2 linked regions of the Astyanax mexicanus genome follow. The protein of the gene in region 2 purifies or fractionates together with the protein of the main gene of each other region. This does not show direct contact. Links are inferred from orthologs where the notes say so. Each region holds a gene or a part of one and is shown on either strand. Other genes may lie near its edges. The genes, in order: srprb and tmem259.

Evidence for each region.
Region 1: the proteins of tmem259 (region 2) and srprb purify together in Homo sapiens (affinity purification with mass spectrometry; 3 studies listed by BioGRID and IntAct, counting the BioPlex papers as one, with this or other methods). This does not show direct contact. The link is inferred for Astyanax mexicanus from reciprocal best matches to the Homo sapiens genes TMEM259 and SRPRB.

The regions. Positions count from the first base shown.
Region 1 is NC_064411.1:41,227,492-41,237,054, forward strand, and holds the start of srprb (signal recognition particle receptor subunit beta), read right to left. Parts: upstream 4,407-9,563; 5' UTR 4,349-4,406; coding exon 4,207-4,348; intron 3,540-4,206; coding exon 3,445-3,539; intron 3,321-3,444; coding exon 3,243-3,320; intron 2,401-3,242; coding exon 2,318-2,400; intron 1,303-2,317; coding exon 1,166-1,302; intron 885-1,165; coding exon 830-884; intron 1-829. Other genes in the region: collagen alpha-1(XXVI) chain, read left to right, coding at 8,634-8,803. UniProt on the Homo sapiens protein: Component of the signal recognition particle (SRP) complex receptor (SR). Ensures, in conjunction with the SRP complex, the correct targeting of the nascent secretory proteins to the endoplasmic reticulum membrane system.
Region 2 is NC_064423.1:18,116,784-18,125,938, forward strand, and holds the start of tmem259 (membralin), read right to left. Parts: upstream 3,765-9,155; 5' UTR 2,555-3,764; coding exon 2,339-2,554; intron 1,183-2,338; coding exon 886-1,182; intron 1-885. Other genes in the region: med16 (mediator of RNA polymerase II transcription subunit 16), read left to right, coding at 5,575-5,713, 7,233-7,340, 7,571-7,740, 8,329-8,760. UniProt on the Homo sapiens protein: May have a role in the ERAD pathway required for clearance of misfolded proteins in the endoplasmic reticulum (ER). Promotes survival of motor neurons, probably by protecting against ER stress.

The sequences.
Region 1 (9,563 bases), on a different chromosome or scaffold from region 2:
TACATATGACAGTTCATCGATATGATGATTTAATTGCATTCAGCAACAAGAGCATCAAAGCCTGAGCCTTTATTACATCCTGTCAACATCAGCTACATGAGCAGAGTCTCTCTATACTTCATATTAATTGGTTTGTAGACAATGTTAGTTATGAGTTCGGAGAGTTGCTATGCCAGGTGTTGAAATTAATTCTGAGTGTATAAGTTTTTTTCTGTTGATAAATAAGTGTTAATTTACTGTTACAGTAAATTAATGAATTGCCAGTTTAAGCGTTTGTGTTTGTGTGACGCACCTGCACACCAAGGGGATTTGGATTTCTTTTTTTCCTCTGGAATAAAGATTGGCTTAACTTCCTGTAATTAGCCTGAAAATGATTAACCAACTAGAAAAGTGTTTTATGCTGCTGGAGAACTGGACCATGGTTTAGTAGATGCAGACCAAGACCTCTTTTGGTCAAATAGGAATCAATCCCCGCTATCAAAGTCAACAAAACTGAGATTAACTTTTTCTAACACCCTTCATTTCAGAAGAAACAATGTGTGTATATATTGAAAATATGTAAATATAAATAGATATGTACCAAATTGTATAGACATTTTTATATAAAATGTATTCAGAGCAGAAAACAAAAACTTACAGAAGATTCTATTATTCTTATACAGAACAAATCTTTTTGTTCTTTTCTGAATGCAGTACAGTGAAGTATGTGATTAAAGCTTGTTCCTAATTGCTATTCAACAATTATAATAAATAAAATCTAACATTAATAGTTTGTTCATAGAGTTCATTGTTAGCAGAAATAAAGTAATAAAAAAAGTAAAACACTCACAGCTCCTTCTCCAGCTGCTGCTGAATCAGTTTGGCTGACTTCGCCATTGTAATATCTACAATTAAAGAGAGAAGTGAAAAAATAAATAAATATTCAACACTTTTTACTTATATCAATACTAATATCATCTAAACATTTCTATAATTACAGTCTGCAGTATATGAGGTACCCACAGAGCCCACACAACTGTGCTGAAGGCTAAAGGCCAAATAACCACAGAACACCTACTACATCAAAAATGAACAAAGACATGAATCATAAACCACTCGAGGTAAAGAGATGAGTGTGTGGGGGATTTTAAATGCATCAGTTTTAGGTGCAACAGTGTGCTCGTACCTTGTTTGTTGCACGCGATCAGCAGAGTTGGGGCATTCCTGGTCACCACACTGTCCGTCAGCAAGGAGTAAAGCAACTCAGCCACATCCTTCACCTCCTTCTGGAAGACTGCACTGTCCACCACGAACACTATCGCTCTAGGGTCACAAGAAGCATTACATTAAATTCTGAGTTTCAGGCTTAGTGTCTTTAATTCATAATGACTAAGATCAGATTAGAAATTAGATTAGAAATAAGACTATGCTACATGGTCAAAAGTACTGGGATACCTGCCCATTCATTGTTTTTTTCGAGATGAATAGTAGTTATAAAAAAAAATAATAATAATAATAAAAAAATTATATTAGAATAATAATAATAAAATATATTTATATTATTATAATTATTTTTATTACTACTATTATTATTATTATTATTAATAATAATAATAATAATAGATTTTGTTAAGAGTATCTGTCTCTACTGTAAGGGAAGGCTGTCTACTGCATGTCGGGCATTGGGTGCAGCATGAGGACCTTCATGCATTCATTAGAAGACGTGTCCACAAACATTTGTGCATATAGAGTTCTTTTAATAGAGACTCTCCATACAGAATCCTTCGTAGTTCAGAATTAGGTTTAATCCCTGTCCGGGAAACCGTCCCATAGTGTATCAGTTTCTCTGATTTTGCTATTTATTGGTATATGTTTGAGTAAAATGAAAATAGGTCTTTTATTCTATAAACCACGGCCAACATTTCTCCCAAATAAAAATAGTAATTTTGAGCATTTATTTGCAGAAAATGAGAAATGGCTGAAATAACAAAAAAGAAGCAAAGTTTTCAGACCTCATATAATGCAAAGACAAACAAGTTTATATTTATAAAGTTTTAAGAATTTAGAAATCTATATTTTGTGGAATAACCCTGGTTTTTAATCACAGTTTTCATGCATTTTGGCATGTTCTCCTCCACCAGTCTTACACACTGCTTTTGGATAAATTTATGCCACTCCTGGTGCAAAACTTAAACAGTTCGGCTTGGTTTGATGGCTTGTGATCATCCATCTTCCAAACCAGCACAACACCCACTAATAGGCCAATGCCACTCCAGTGATGTTTCTAGAACTTTACACCAAAAAAAGCAATCTCTATTTAACCCATCACTGTATGTACCTTGCAGAAGCCTTAAACCTCTCCAAAAACTGAGGCCTCAGACTTTCATGGCCAGGAAGGTCAACAAGAGTCCAGGTGGTACCCTGCACACAAATAGACAGACACAAACATGAGTCAATGAGAATGCTATGCTATAGGACATATTATACGCTTATCCTGAAGTCAACAAACATCTCTTTGGTTTTGTCCACATTTAGAGCAATTTTACACACGAAAGTTCAAACCCAGGTCCAGGCACCAAGGTTTGTGTCTTTGTTACACTGTGTACATTTGGAGTTTGATTTCGGCACAACACCAATTCTTCTTTATCTCTGGCGTGGTTAACAGGTAACTAAACCCTCTGATTTTTGCTGACTCCACCCTCAGCTCAAATGTGAAAAATGCTTAAAAAAAATAAATAAAAAATGGGAAGAGTAGTTTGGGAGGGGCACCGGGTGATGTATGGGATTAGGGGCAGGTCAGAAGGGAGAGCTGACTGGTCTGAGCAGTGTGCCTCTGACAGCAGTGAGACGCAGTAGTGTGAAACTGTAGTGTGAAACCAAAACTAACTGGACCAACTGTACAGAATACAATGTAACTAACACACAAACCTTGGTGTCTGGACTTGGGTTTGAACTTTCAGGTGTAAAAACACCCTTTGTCTTACCACATTTTGATTCTTTGGTCCAGACCGAGGTCCGTGGCCCCTTTCACACCTGATATTTTGGTTTGGTCCAAAGTGAAAATCAGAAAGTCCAAACTAAAAAAGGCAGGTGTAAATCCACCTTTAGACATCCACTTTTACCTGAATGGCCAAATTCCCATCCATACATCTGGTCCATTTTATTCATCACAGACCAGCTTGGACCTGAAACTAGCTGCTGGGGTAAAGCTGGGGTTAAACTCAGCAGGGTAGTAGTGAGTTTTGTCACCATTATGGTCTTACCTTCTCATTTTTGGTTTTATAGTTTGCACTGTTTTCAGAGATGGATGTTTGAGTGTTTGTGAATCTCCCTGCCAAGAGCTGGAGAGACAGAAATAACCAGTTATACCCTGCTACAGATTAAGCAGTCCTTTAGGATAAGCAGTTATTAATAATAATAATATAAGGTATAGGGGGTATAAGAAAAGGTTAAAGAAACACTCACTCTACTGAAGAGAAGAGTCTTCCCTGAATCACACAAACCCACCAGCAGCACACTGCTTCTTTTAGTCTTGGTACTGAACAGAAACTTAAATAACACTGAAAAAAACACACAAATAGCAGCTTTTTAATACGTGTTTAATAAATCATGGCCTGGTTTAACAACAACAAAGCTATTTAACTACAAATAAGCTAGACTTCTGTGTAAAATGTGCAATAAAAAGCTATAAAATGCTTTTACAGTGATTTTTTTAAAACACCAGTCTTATTTTTTAAAAGTATCTAACTACAAAATAATCCAGACTTCTGTGTAAAATGTGCAAAAAGCTATAAAATGTTTTTACAGTGGAAATTTCTAAAACACCAGTCAGTTATTTTGAAGTTATTTAACTAACGTTACAAAATAACCCAGACTTCTGCATGAAATGTGCAATGAAAAAACTATAAATGCTTTTACAGTGGAACATTTTTAAACACCAGTCTTATTTTTTAAGTTATCTAACTACAAAATAATCCAGACTTTTGCATAAAATGTGCATAAAACGCTATAAAATACTTTTATTTTTAAGCTAGGCTTAGCCAACCTAGCTAATTGCTAAGCTAGTGCACGTCATTTTGTTAGGAAGCCACTTTTATCAGATCTTACAATAACGCGGATCGACCTGCTACTCAGATCCATCATTAGCCGCATATACAAGTCTATCCTTTCGCGTTACAGATCAGGTAAAATCACCAGTAAACGATGCCGTTAGCTTAGCACACTCACCTACTGTTATTATAACCACTGCTAAAGCCACGAACACCCCGATTAGGAAAGCAGGGTCCTGTTCTATAAACTCTTTAACCAGCGAGTCCAGAAACGGCTCGGAGGAAAAATCCTCCAAATCCAGGTTAATCTTCTCCTCCATAGCGGCGGTGCTGCTGCTGCTGCTTCTGTCACTGAGGCACTGAACACACACGTGTACTTACAGCGCCCGCGCACATGCGCAGTACACACACCGAGTCCGATACCTGAAAAAATATATATATTACCTCTAACTACTAGAAGGAGCCCAACAATGAGACCTAAATGAATGGGAGCTTGATTGATCTATTTTTTTTTTTTTTGCATTGATTAATTTTATAGTTGATGATTAGAATATTATATAAGACCAAGGAAAGCATGAAGTGCTGTAAGATTTACCGATAAAACACTGCACTGACCTGGGACCTGATATAACACAGTGGACCAACACTAGCAGATGATGACTCTCCAAAACATCACTGACCAGCAGGACTTGGCACACTGCCCACACTGCCAAAAGTGCCAATTGGTCTAATATAATTTTGGGGTCTTTAAAGCATAGTCATTAGCAATAAAATAAAATAAACACTTAAAATAGATAGCTCTGCTTGTAATACAAATATATATATTGTGGCGACCGCCAAAAAGCTGTAAGTACACCACTGAGTTCTTGTGTTTGCAGCAGAGTGCAAGGAGGAGGGGCTGCGTGTGTGTGTGTTTCTACGATGCAAGCCCCCCCCCCCCCCCCCCCCCTTACACTCTGCTCTTATTTACGGAAATGTAGTAGTTATTAATAGTAGAAGTGGCTGTTATCAGGTTGTTATGCCTTGTATTTACTGTGTTGGGGAAATGTTGGATGGTCACCGTTAGGGTGAACCACACTCCGTAGATAGGGCTGGCTCAGTTTAATGTTTGTGGGCAGTCGGGATAGATACCTCCATGTGCTTCTAAGTGCTATTAGTGAGAGTTCAGTTTTCCCAAATAAAGAGCTGCATTTCTGACACTCAGTATTTTGACAACGGCTTCTTCACACATACATAGACATATATTTTTCATTTTCAACAGAAAACTATTTTTAAGCAACTGGGATGCTATAGCATCACTTCTACTGAGCTAACTGGTGAGCTGATGCTGGAGGAGAGAATACTCACTTAAGAATCTCTTCGGAGTTTGTTTAACCACCAGAGGGCGCTGCCGGGTCCAAAATGAATGGGTTCATATCGAGCATTCGAGCAAAATCAATTTATAAAGGTTTGTTGTAGAAAACAAAAAAATATATAGGTATGTTTTCTTTGTATTTTGGGCAAAGTACTTTATTTTACTATCTGAAGTTAAAGGAATGTACTGGACAAATAGTTATACAGTTTTTAGCCAATTAGCTTCATTTACCCCAGCACAGAGACTGTGGTTTTATTTAAATTTGATTTCACCGGCATTAACAAACGTTGCAGATTTGTCTAACTAGATATCATTAACCAGGTTTGTTATGCTGGCCCAGAGTTCTCCCTGTTTACCATCTTAAGATGAAGGCCTTCAGCTTTGTAGGTCTAAATTTGACATATGGTTTCGTTATAGAACACAGCTTTAACTTGCCTTGGCGGATTACAGCAGAGAGAACTGCGTTTAGTACTTTTTGGGAGTATAGATATATAGTGAGTTACAGTATATAGAATAATGTCTGATTTTACCATGCCATCTGAGAACCCGAAGAGCACCAGCAGCCACTATGATTTGTCTTTGCAGGGGCAGACTTCACCAGATAATACTGTTGCTGGTGAAACACCCAAAGTCTTTAAAGTTTTACACATACCAGTCATTTAAACCTTATTTTATGAAGAAAGAAAGCAGTAACATTTACACATCAGTGGCAACTCAAGTGCAATAAATCAATCTTATAATTTTAATTGAAAAACGTCCACAGCCGACCACAAAACTAAAGCAGAAGAATGTTCTCAATTAAGTGCAAAGTCTCATCATTAAAAACAGGTATTTAAGTAAGTTTAAATTCTGAAGCAGCAGAATATTTGCGTGGTTTGAATCATGTTGCTAATCACCGGTTTGCTAATCACGTTTCGCAATTTTTTTAAACGCATGTATTAATTCTACTTAATATTAAGGAAAAGATCTATACATTAACAAAGCTGGTAAAAGACAAAAGCATCCAACCAGACAGATCTAAAGATTGTCATATTATTCACAGATTTATAGTTATTGGTTTCAATAACCTCAAAAAAAACAAAAAAAAACTAAACTGTAATAAAACTGCTGTTAAAACAAGTGCGCCTAAAATGTTTAAATGGATGTCAGCGTTGTGGAAATCACATTCTACACAAATTATGTTCACATATCGGTTCAAACTAAAAGTACGTGTGTGCTGTTTGAGGTTAAAAAAGTTATATTTAACACTTTAGTCCTTTAACATATACACACAAGCAGCAAATTAAGGTCAGCATTAGAGTCTTCAGACCAGTAAAACAAAGAGAATCATCCTTGCCTCCTTAAACCACTAGCTATCACACTAATTCTATCTTCAAAAAGACTTAATCGAAATACGCGCAATTAACGTTACCTGTATCATTCCATCAACCAAACATCATGCAAACACACTGGTAACAGAGTTCAAACCACATAATGAAAATAATAAACTTTAACTTAACGACTTCTTTTCACTTTTTTTTTTTTTTTTTTTTTTTTTTTGATAAGAAATCTCACAAGCCGTCTCACACACACCGTAGTCACCTCAAACGAGCTCCTCTTATGCGTTCCTACCGCCTGATCAGGTGACGAAGGAATCCCTAATTACTAATAATCAACACCTGGTAGCTGTTACATTAGTACGTACCGTGATCGTTTGAGGCAAAATTTTTTTTTTTTTTTTTTTTTTTTTTTTTTTTTTTTTTTTTTTTTTTTTTTTTTACAAGACGCCGTTTCCTCGTGTTATTAGCTTAATAGTAATCCTTCTTAAGCGTAATATCTTTATTTGGAAAATATCGGAGTTTAATTTGTTTCATTAGCGTAAGGAACTGGCCACGCTGTAGTTAATTATGAGTCGATTCTTTGACTTAAAGCACGTCTCAGAGTCGAATATTTGTTAGTAATATTTGGGTCGAGTGCATGTAATGTCAGAAAGAGTTTCAGATTGAGTGCCTTGGTTCTGTTAAACAACGCGGCTTTACCTCATAATTTTACCTAAACACTTTACTTCAACATTATTAAGGCACGGGTTCCTGTTTTTTAAGGCCTCCTGTTTTTATGCCTGACCTAAAAAAAGATTTGAAAAGTGGAAATTAATCAGTGCAGTTGAAGCTTCTTGCTGTAAAGATAGAAGACAACAAACTACAATTTTATTGAGTTCTTTAAAAAAATATAAAAAGCCTCTAAGGTGATATATTGTTGACCTTTACTTATTAAGGTGTGGGAATGAGAACCTAGTGCGTGGCCACGACTTATTAAGGTGTGGGAAAATAAAACATTTCTGTAAATAAATGCCCATGAAGAAACTCATCAGTTTATCTTCCTTGGGCAGTCATGTTGTGCGAAACCCCTGAGAGCTGCTTTCTTTGTTAGCTGTGAAAAAAGGGACCTTGTGGCCAAGCCTTAATGTCTATCATTAAATTAACTTGTTCCTGTGCCTTAATAAGTCGTGCCCACACATTAGGATCTCGTTCCCATGCCGTAATAATCAAGTTCCCACACATTAGGATCTCCTTCCCATGCCATACTCTTTAATAAGTCGTGGCCACACTTTTTTTTACATGATGTCACCTTAGGGGCGTCATAAAAAGTAAGTGTTTGAAAGTTTGTAAACCTATTAGAATTGTCTATATTTCTGCATAATTATGACCTGAAACATCAGATTTTCAAGTCTTTAAGGAAAAAGATCAAGAGAACCTTGTTAAACAAATGAGACAAAATACTAATTTATTTATTGAGGAAAATTATCCAATGTTACATTAGTATGTGAATTAGTATGAGAAATGTGTGTATTTCATTCTGAGGTAAAATAAACGCGTGGTAAATAGCTTTTTATCATCATAAAAGTCACACAAATGTCTTTACTCACATAATGCTATTAAATCATTATCGTTCCTAGGCTGTTTATCACCCTGTGGGATATACTATACTATAACACCCCACAAAGACAGGAATACAAACTTTAGTGTGTGTGTGCGTGTGCGCGCGCGGGGGGTACGCGAGAGTTTTTTTTTTTTTTTAGTTCAGACTCTCCTCATGTGTTGAATGGTCTGGTCTGCGCGTTCTGACGGTCTTCTGCTTTGCGTTGGCTTCCTCCAGCCGAGAACTTGCACCGACAGCAGTGGAGAACCGAGAGCGCGCATTCTGCTCCGTGAAGCTGAACGGGAGCGCGCGGGGATCCAGGCGGTGTGCTTGGCTTCAGCACTGGTGCAGCGATGTCACGGCACGCGCTATGGCTCTCCGTGTGCTGCATCCTCGCGTGTTGGACTGGACCTTCTCTCGGAACCGGCTTCATCTACCAGTTCCCTAACGGACTAACGGTGCAGCACGTGAACTCTGAACAAAGTGCTGGACCTCCAGCTGCGGCTATTAACTCCCAGCGCAGGTATGGACACATATCACACACTTTCACACACACACACACACGTTATTATGTTTTTGTAGCCATATAAGAATCGAAACCAGTTTTCTTCTTTAAACAGCTGGAAATAACAGCATGTGCAACTCAAGCTGGTCAATATGGTTTTGACAAGCATATGTTATTTTTTTGTTCTTGACCAAGTTGGTTGACCAGCAAAACCAACTTGACCAAGCTGGTTGATAAACAAGACCAGCATAACTAGCAAAACCAGCAAGACCAAACCTGTCAAACCATCATGACAAGCAGCTTAACTAGTTTGATGGTTTAGCTGGTCTACAGACATGATCCACCTCACCCAGCTAGGCAACCAGTATGACCAGCCATAGCCAATATAGTTGCCCGGCTTGACCAAGTTCTTTGGTTAGCAAGACCACTTTGACCAAGCTGGTTGACAAGAAAAATAATCTTGACCACACTGGTTGGCCAGTAAAACCAAGCCGGTGGACCAACAAGGTCAACATGACTAGCAAAACCAGCAAGACCAAACTTGTCAACCAGCATGACGAGCAGCTTAACTAGTTTGATGGTTTAGCTGCTCTACAAACATGATCTAGCTTACCCAGATAGGCAACCAGTATGACCAAGTCTCACCATGCTGGTTGACCAGAATAGCCAATATGGTTGAACGGCTTGACCAAGTTGGTTGACCAGCAAGACCTGCATGACAAGCAAGACCAGTAAGACCAAACTTGTCAACCAGCATGACAAGCATGACCACAGTCAA
Region 2 (9,155 bases):
GCCTTAAAGTTACAGACATACAGACATTGTTACACATTATATTAATCAGCAAAACTTATTCTATCATCCTCATATCAAAAAGTGATCTTAAGCCCTATCAGGACGAGATTAGTTTTTCAGGGGGCGCCTGTGATTAATATTTCACACTTTTACTCAGTGATAAAACTCTTGCATCTGGACTACAACTGAAAAAACAGGAGGACCAGTGAGTTAACTGGCTTTTACTATTACTACTAGTAAGTAATTCAGTCTGTAGTTTTCTCAGAGGACGTCTGAAAACCACATACATGATCATTCCGGATGGGAATAAAATCACAGAGGACCCCACCCCCCTTAAAAGAGAAAATTAACCCAGGATCCAGTATGCTAGGATGAATACAAAGCAAGCTGGGACTAAAATGCAACCATGAAACATTTGTCTTGCTTGGTCTGAACCAAGAGAACCAAACAACAAACAAACACCTCCTAAGTGTGTGTTTATATTTGGCAATGCATTTCAACAAAATAGAAAAAAGGAGTACTGTGCCATCTCTAGTTTTATATAAAAGTATTTAAATTTAGTCTTAATAAAAGAGAATATTCCTAGACATAAAAGACAAAAACAAATACTCTAGTGTTTAAAATATGTCCAGTCTTTTTGTTTTCTCTGCTGTAACACATAAATAAAGGGCAATTTCCCTATGACTAGATTTACCTTTTAATATACAATCTCCATTCAAAATACTGTGTAGATCACGACTAGGCTTAATCCCCATCTAGGAAACTGTCCCAAAGGTTTACCTAGGAAGGAAATGCACTAAAATATGTATGTTCCCCTCACCCAGGACTGGAAAACACTGCCCTAAAACAGAACAAGTGCCTGCATGTGTTTTTCCTTTTACTTACCCTAACAGAGCTGTTATCAAACATTTCCATGGTCATTTCGTCCTCCTCCTCCTCTTCTTGATGAACAGGAGCTCGGCTGGTGTCCTCTGTATCTCCACTGGATTCTTTAACCAGCCCCTGGAATCCTTCCGTCTCGTAAAACTGCAGGAATATGGGCGCACGGCTTGAGTTGCGCTGGATCTCCACGCGCAAGATTCCATCACGTGGCCATTTCTCACGCACATGCTCCAGACAGTTGATGGGTGATCGGGAGAAGGCGATGTGGATGTAGGCCAGAATGAACAGCACAAACAAAGCCTGCAAATGAGAGGATGTGATTGATGTCAGTAGGTAAACATTCTTTAGCTCAGCAGAATAAAAAAAATGGGACACTCCACACATCCTTACGGGTCTTGTGGGTACATGCACACGAGGACCCCTGGACCCCTTTGGAACAGGGCTATAGTTGGCAATGGTATCATCAGGGATTAAAACCTGCAATCTCCTGATTAAACGGCCAGAACTTAAGTCCCTTTACTCAGGAGCTCTCTAGAAAAAGCAGCTCAAAACTGTCACAGGGTGATACCAACAAGCGTTTTTGTTGATTTTTAGTTTACTACAAAACATGAATACACAAACTGTCCCTTATACTGTGTGAAAATTTCTTGATGGATGGACCAAAAGAAATTCTTCTTTATTGCCTGAAATTAACTCTTTTCAAACTAACTTCCATTGAAAGTTGGAAAGGTGGTTTCATATCTCTCTTGTAAAATACTAGTTTTTCATTGGATAGCACTCTGTACAATAGTTCTGTCTATTTCTGACAGTGTACCATGTTTACCTCTGTGGCTTTCCTCACCTATAGGCAGGTTTTACACATACAATTTCTATTTGAGCAGAGATAAGTGTTGACTTCTGATTTGCAGCCAACATTTTAACATGACAGGTCCTGTTTTGACTAATAGTCAGTAAAAACATTATTATCTATATAGTTAACATACAGTTTTGCATGGGTTAATTGGCCAATATTGCAGATTTGAATGTAGCAGTCACAGAATACGTGTTTTAAAATATGTTATTGTGCCATCTCAATCCAGATCAATCTGTTAAGGCACACCAACATTTAACCTTTATTCATAATATGAAAGCCTGGCGTGTCCTCTATGTCTAATTACAGAATTACAGAGTGTATCTGTGGTCAAGTTACACTGTGACTTTCATAGAAGAGTGAGGGGCAGCTTCTCAAACAGGGATAAAGCCTAGTTATAGATTATACTTAAATGGAATATCTCAATTCAAGATGTCAAAGAAGGCTTAAACTGCTAATTTATAACCAGAAGTAGGCCTGAACTTGGATTAGCTAAGGTAGCATTCTCAGTATATACTGTATATATAGTGTTCTCACTGTAGCTAAAATGCTCAACAAATATGGGCTCAGGTCCAAAAGGGTACGGGGTAAACAAATGACACGTACCTTCAGAAGCACGAAGAACTCGAAAATCCTCCGAAAGGACGGTGGGAATAGCCTGGCATAGGTGACTGCCATCTTAAAGAAGAGGGCATGAAAGAGGCGGTCCCGCACGTTGATGAGGGGGTTCTGGTTGATGTTCGGGTTGCGGATTCGGTTCGGACCGCCATTGTTGTTCAACGGCACGTTGTTGTTGTTTAGGTTTCCCTGGTTGTCTGACATGTCTAACGCCAGTCCCACGAGTTTAGTGCGAAAATTTGATGGCCATGTAGGTCAGACAGGGAGCGACATACGCAGATACTGATAATTAACAGTACTGCCACTTAACCTAGTTAACTAATGCTAGCTAGCTACCTAACTAACAAATTAACGTGGGTGGCTGTAATTAGCTAACCTGGGTTTGCTAGTTAACTGAGAAACATTAGCTATCTTAGTGTGGTTATTTAGCGCTAGTCTGCTAGCTTGTGCACTACAGTCTGTGCATGTACTTTAACTAACGTTATAAACTGCACCAAATTTCTTAATAATCCAGCCTACGTCGTTTGACTGAGCTAGCCCTAGTTATCTTGGATATGTGTGTCTCATGACATCGCTACGAGTTTGCTGGCTTGTAAAAACAAGCTCAGTTAGCATTAGCTAACCTAGCTACCGCTAACTACTGAATGGGGGCATGTCACACTCCGTAGACGTTGTTTTTTTAGTCTTCTTCTGTTTTTATTTCGGTCTATCCTTAGCTAAATAGCTTTGTCAGCCTTAATAAGATGAACAACACCGAACTAGCGTTAGCTAGCTTAGCATACGTGCTAGCTAGCGCTAAGTAAACTGTACCTGGCCCTACTACTCTACTAACCCAACTAACCAGGCGTTAGCTAGCTACGCTAGCTACAACCTCGCTAGCTCACGTTTGCTCCATTTACCACTAAGCTAACTATCTTAGCTAAGCTAACTGATTTAAATACTCCAGGTCAATTAACAGAGTCTGTCAGTGTTGCTGAAATGTAGCTAAATTAAAAAGAGCTAACTAAACTCGATGCCACTTGCTAGCATAGCCCGCTAGCCTGTTGCTTATTAAACTAGCAGCTAACCTAGCTAGCTAGGCTAAACTACAGTTCAGTCTGACGTACAGCTAGCTGCACACAGAGGCCGTATGATCTGCTGCTCCTCAGATCAGCTTCTCTATTAAACACAGATCCTGACACTCACTCTCCCTCTACCGCACACGGAACCGTAACGACGCTAAATACAATCCCACGGGATTCCTCTCCGACAGAAGCTGCCAAGAACTTGTATCCTCTCGCTGTGGTCCCCCTGTTTACACGACCCTTTTCTAATCAAGGCGTACTTGGGTACTTCAGGAGTGACGAGAGCGAAGAAAGTGAGCGGTTGGCAAAGACAGTCATGCCGATGTGTTAGACCCGGACTCAGCGGCTGATCTCAGATACAGCGCCACCTCTACGCGGGACGACTACAAACACACCTGTGGCAAAATCGCCTAGATCCTCAGTTAATCAATTTGATTCTACCCTTTTAAAACAATGGTCTGTGTCAAGAGCATGAATTATTAAGGTAATTTATTATGCGTCAAGTCAAAACAAAATGTGACGTTAATTTTAATAGCCGTCCTTCACTGAACTAATTTCCACAGTTCAGGGCTTGTCCCCAGTTTGGTAATTAAATTAAATTAAATTATATTGATATAGCGCTTTTTACAACATTTGTAAAACCACACACAGTGCACCACAGTGATGCCAACAGTAACAAGGAAAACCCCCCTCATACTAAGTGGAAGACACTTTAGGATAACATGGTAGGCTAAGATGTTTATTAGATTTTTACTATAATATACAGTTTACTTCGTTTTAATAAAGACTTTGGGCTATAAATATTGCATAGATGTTTACATTTATTTTTTAATTTTATTTTTTATGATTTTAGTACGGTCAACACATTTATTAGTTGCATTGTTACCATGTTATTACAATTGAGTTATTATAATGATTTAATTACTATTCTCGTGTGACTTAATAACAATGTAGTTAAATCTTTATATTGAATAGAGAACAAAATGAAAATTAAAATATATCACAAAAGTTAATTAAAGGAGTAGAAACCTAATTTTAAACAACTATATAATGTCAATGGATAAATACATAAAATGTTTACCAAAAATTAGACATATAGAATTGCACCAAATAAATGACATTTATTTCAGACCTTTAGTAACACTTAATACAGCCCACAATTTAGTGTGTAAATGTGTAAGTTCAAATAACTTATGAGTACATACAAGATACAAAAATAAAGTTAGGGAGGTAAATAAAAAAAATACACCACATGTTTTGGGAAATTGTTATTTTCTTGTTATTGGTTGGGCTTTTTTGTTGTTGTACATGCATTTAAGTACCAATAAGAACCGGCACGTATTTTATATGTGTAACGGGCTTCTTAGTGTTACACATGTATAGGCTCATACAGGGATTATACCATACATTTTGGTAATTACATACTAAATGTCGGAAAATTGCCCAATTGTTCCACTATTGCTACTGTATTTTATATGTGCTGGTTCGTACTCGGGTCCTACTCTCTGGTTCCTGGTTATCCTCATTACTTTATTCGTAGCTACATTTAAGTAGCAGTAAGACAGACCTTGTAAATATTTTGTAAATACTGGTTCATACAGAGAAGTTACGGGACATTTTATTAAGTGTTACCATATATTTTATGACATAGATTATATTTAGTTAGCTAGTTAGTCTGTTAGCTTAGTTAGCTAACAGTTAGTGTTTCTGTTTATGGTTAGGGTCGTTACACTCCTGGCCGGTAACGGCGCTCTGACAGGTCAGTGCTGGGCGGAGCGCAGCGCTGCAGAGGAAGACTCATACACACAGCAACAGCGCTGTAGTTCACTGTATAATCTCCATACACAGAAACTTTATTTTAGTTTAACTGTGTTGTTTCAGAACCGTGTGGATTGTACATATTTTTTCTAAATACGTCGCTTTTTCCCCCTCATTTGTATCAAATTTGGTGAGATTTTGCGCTTTGTTATGACGAACTGGTTAGCTAAATAAGCTAACAAGCTAGCGTTAGCTGGCTAGCTAACAAGCTAGCATTAGCTGCTAGCTAACGCCGGGCAGTAGAGTCTATTGAATGGCTCTCTGTTCACTTGAGCGTTTGTATGAAACCCGGAGACATTGGAGGAGTATATCTATCTTAGTTAAATCGTTAATGTATTAATAATGGAGGTTGTGTATGTGTGCGAGTGGGAGAAGAGACCCAAAAACAACCACTGCCCCTCCATCCCGCTGGTGTGTGCCTGGTCCTGCAGAAACCTCATCGCCTTCACAACAGACCTGAAAAATGAAGAGGACGATAAAGGTAAGAGGAGTCCTTATACTAGTGCTCTCTGTTATCCTCTGTCTAATATAAAGTGTAGTTAGTTATATTAGGTTATATTCTACACTTTATTCATTTATGTCTATGAATTTTAGCCAGTGTACAGAACTTAAGCCTAACACTATGTTTGTGTCTACCACTTTTAGTTAGCTATGCATATTTCAGATCCACTGAACATACTACTGCATTTCAGAAAAATAAAATATCATTAAAAAGTTGCCTTATTTCAGTAGTTCAGTTCAAAATGTAAAATTCATATACAGCTCTGGAAAAAATTGAGAACACTTTCTTTGATTTTACCAAATTGAAATCCTCATAAAGCTATTCAAAAGCACTGTGTAAGACTGGTGGAGGAAAACATGCCAAGATGCACGAAAACTTTGATTAAAAAGCAGGGTTATTATTTTTATTTTAACCATTTCTCATTTTCTGCAAATAAATGCTGTAAATGACAATATTTCTATTTAGGAATTTGGGAGAAATGTTGTCCGTAGTTTATAGAATAAAACAACAATGTTCATTTTGCTCAAACATATACCTATAAATAGTAAAATCAGAGAAACTGAAGTGGTCTTTTAATTATTTCCAAAGCTGTATTATATAAATGTTTTATACACAGTAATCTATTATCTATAGTTGAAGATGATGACAAAAATCAGTATCTCAGAAAATCAGAATATTATATAAGACCGATTGGTACTTGTGGCGGTGTGGGCAGTGTGCCGAATTCTGCTGCAAAATGAAATCTGCATCTCTAGGAATCATTAAGTGCTGTAAGATTTTCCGGGAAAACATTGCACTGATTTTGGATTTGATTTAACACAGTGGACCAAAACCAGCAGATGACATGACTATCCAAACCATCACTGATTGTGGGAACTTCACACTAGACCTCAAGCAGCTTGGACTGTGTGCCTCTCCACTCTTCCTACCGATTCTGATTCCTTGAGTTCTCTGATCCCTTGATTATTTATAGCAATATTTTGAGCATACACACAATTGTGCTGCACATAATCCAGTTAAACATTACTGATTAAACTCTCTGTAATGTAATAGTGATGCTCATCAGTGTTCTTTTAGCAGTAATGTCATCCAAATATGCTTCGATATCACAAAAATTGAACACAATGCAATACAATGTAGAAAGAAGCCCTCTTCTATTGCACATACAGATGTTACATATTTTATAATATGCAATAGTATTGTGTTATTTGTATTAGTTGCTATTTACTGGAAAGATTTATGGGTTGTTTTTGTTTAATTGTTTTGCACTTTATATGCATGCACTAAATATTCCACACTTTGGTATTGCGCTAGATTTGTTGCTAAATTTTTTTGTTGTTACATTGCTTATTTTGTTATATATTTTTTGTACGAAACCTGAGACTTCATCATTTATTGGTTTGCTCTGTTGAAGCTGTTTTCTTTTGTGTATCATGGATATATATTTTTTCCCCTTAGTGCAGTCTAAGTGTTTAACATAGTACATTTTTTGCTTTAGAACTCAGTCACATGATTCATATCATTGACACTGAACACCCCTGGGATGTCTACTCCATCAACTCGGGTCATAGGGAAGTTATTTCGTGCTTGGAGTGGGACCAGTCAGGTAAGTTAACCTCACTGTTTAAAATTTAATTGTAAAACGGCCAATATTTTTGCATTCTCTCATATATACATTTTTTTCTAAATGATCTAATATTGCAAAAGATTAGCACTGTGTGCCCTGATAGGTGAAATTTTAGGACAAAGAGTATTGTAATGATGTTCACTCATTTTAGGGCTGCAGTATATTCATATCTAATTTTTGCCTTCATTCATTAAATTGTGTGTAACTAGGATCCAGACTGCTCTCTGCTGATGGGGACGGAGAGATCAAGTGTTGGGCAATGAAGGAACACCTTGTGAACAGCTGGGAAAGTATACAGAGCAGCTCTGTTGATGGAGACCCTATTGTAGCTCTCTCATGGTTGCACAATGGGGTCAAACTTGCACTGCATGTGGAGAAGGTAAGAGCAAGAAATTTACCCACATTTTTTAGTATATATTTTAGTATAAGGCACACTTAAAGTTCTTTAATTAAAAAAAAAAATGTCAGTGCACCTTATGTATGAATTCTACCAGTCAGGTTGTAAAGAGCAGTAAAGCCACTCCGCTAAAGTACAGCATTATAGTTTAGTTTTATAGTTTAGTTCTCCAGCATCTGAACTCTTTAAACTTTATGAATATGAACTAAAGGCTCTGCCTCTTTTTTATTATCTCAGCCATTTCTCATTTTCTGCAAATAAATGCTCTAAATGACAATATTTTTATTTGGAATTTGGGAGAAATGTTGTCTGTAGTTTATAGAATAAAACAACAATGTTCATTTTACTCAAGCATATTCCTATAAATAGCAAAATCGGAGAAACTGATTCAGAAACTGAAGTGGTCTCTTATTTCGTTCCAGAGCTGTATATATGATTTACAGATCAGATTTAAAGCAACAGTTACAAAAAAAACAGCTTGTTTAACTATAAAGGATAAATGCAATTTTATTTTACACACAGTTCTGCTCTGTAAGTTTTATTTTGCTTTCTGTTCTTATCACTCCACAGTCTGGATCCACCAACTTTGGTGAGAAGTTCTCCCGGGTGAAGTTCTCTCCGTCACTCACTCTGTTCGGCGGTAAGCCTATGGAGGGCTGGCTGGCTGTGACCGTGAGTGGCCTGGTGACCGTGTCCCTTCTGAAGCCCAACGGCGCTTTGCTGTCAGCCAGCGAAAGCCTGTGCCGGCTGCGTGGACGCGTGGCTCTTGCTGACATTGCCTTCACCGGCGGCGGGAACATTGTGGTGGCAGCGACGGACGGCAGCAGCTCATCACCAGTTCAGTTTTATAAAGTGTGTGTGAGTGTGGTGAACGAGAAGTGCCGCATCGATACAGAACTGCTGCCCTCGCTCTTTATGCGCTGCACCACTGACCCGGTGCGACGGGACAAGTATCCAGCTGTCACACACCTCAAATTCCTCACACGGGAGAACTCTGAGCAGGTGATTTTATAGTGTTACTACTGATGAAGCCTATTAACGCCTATTTAAAAATATACACATTTAATTATTATGTTTCCTTTATCAGTCTAGAATTTAAAGCAGAGGTTTGAATTTAAAGTCACTACAGACAGTACTTAATCATTTAACCATTTTCATGTAGCCAAAGGTAATAAACCTTTAAAGGCCTGTCACAATCATTTTAATACCCTCATAATTTTTTGATTAGACTAGTAAGGAATTATTAACTTTATATGTCGACTTTGTTTAAAGACCTCTGGTTAAATTTGATTTACTGTATTTTTCACACTATAAGGTGCACTTAAAATCATTTCATTTTCCTGCTAACCCCGGCTAGCACTGCTGGAGCAGCATAAGCATTACCCACTAACCCTGCT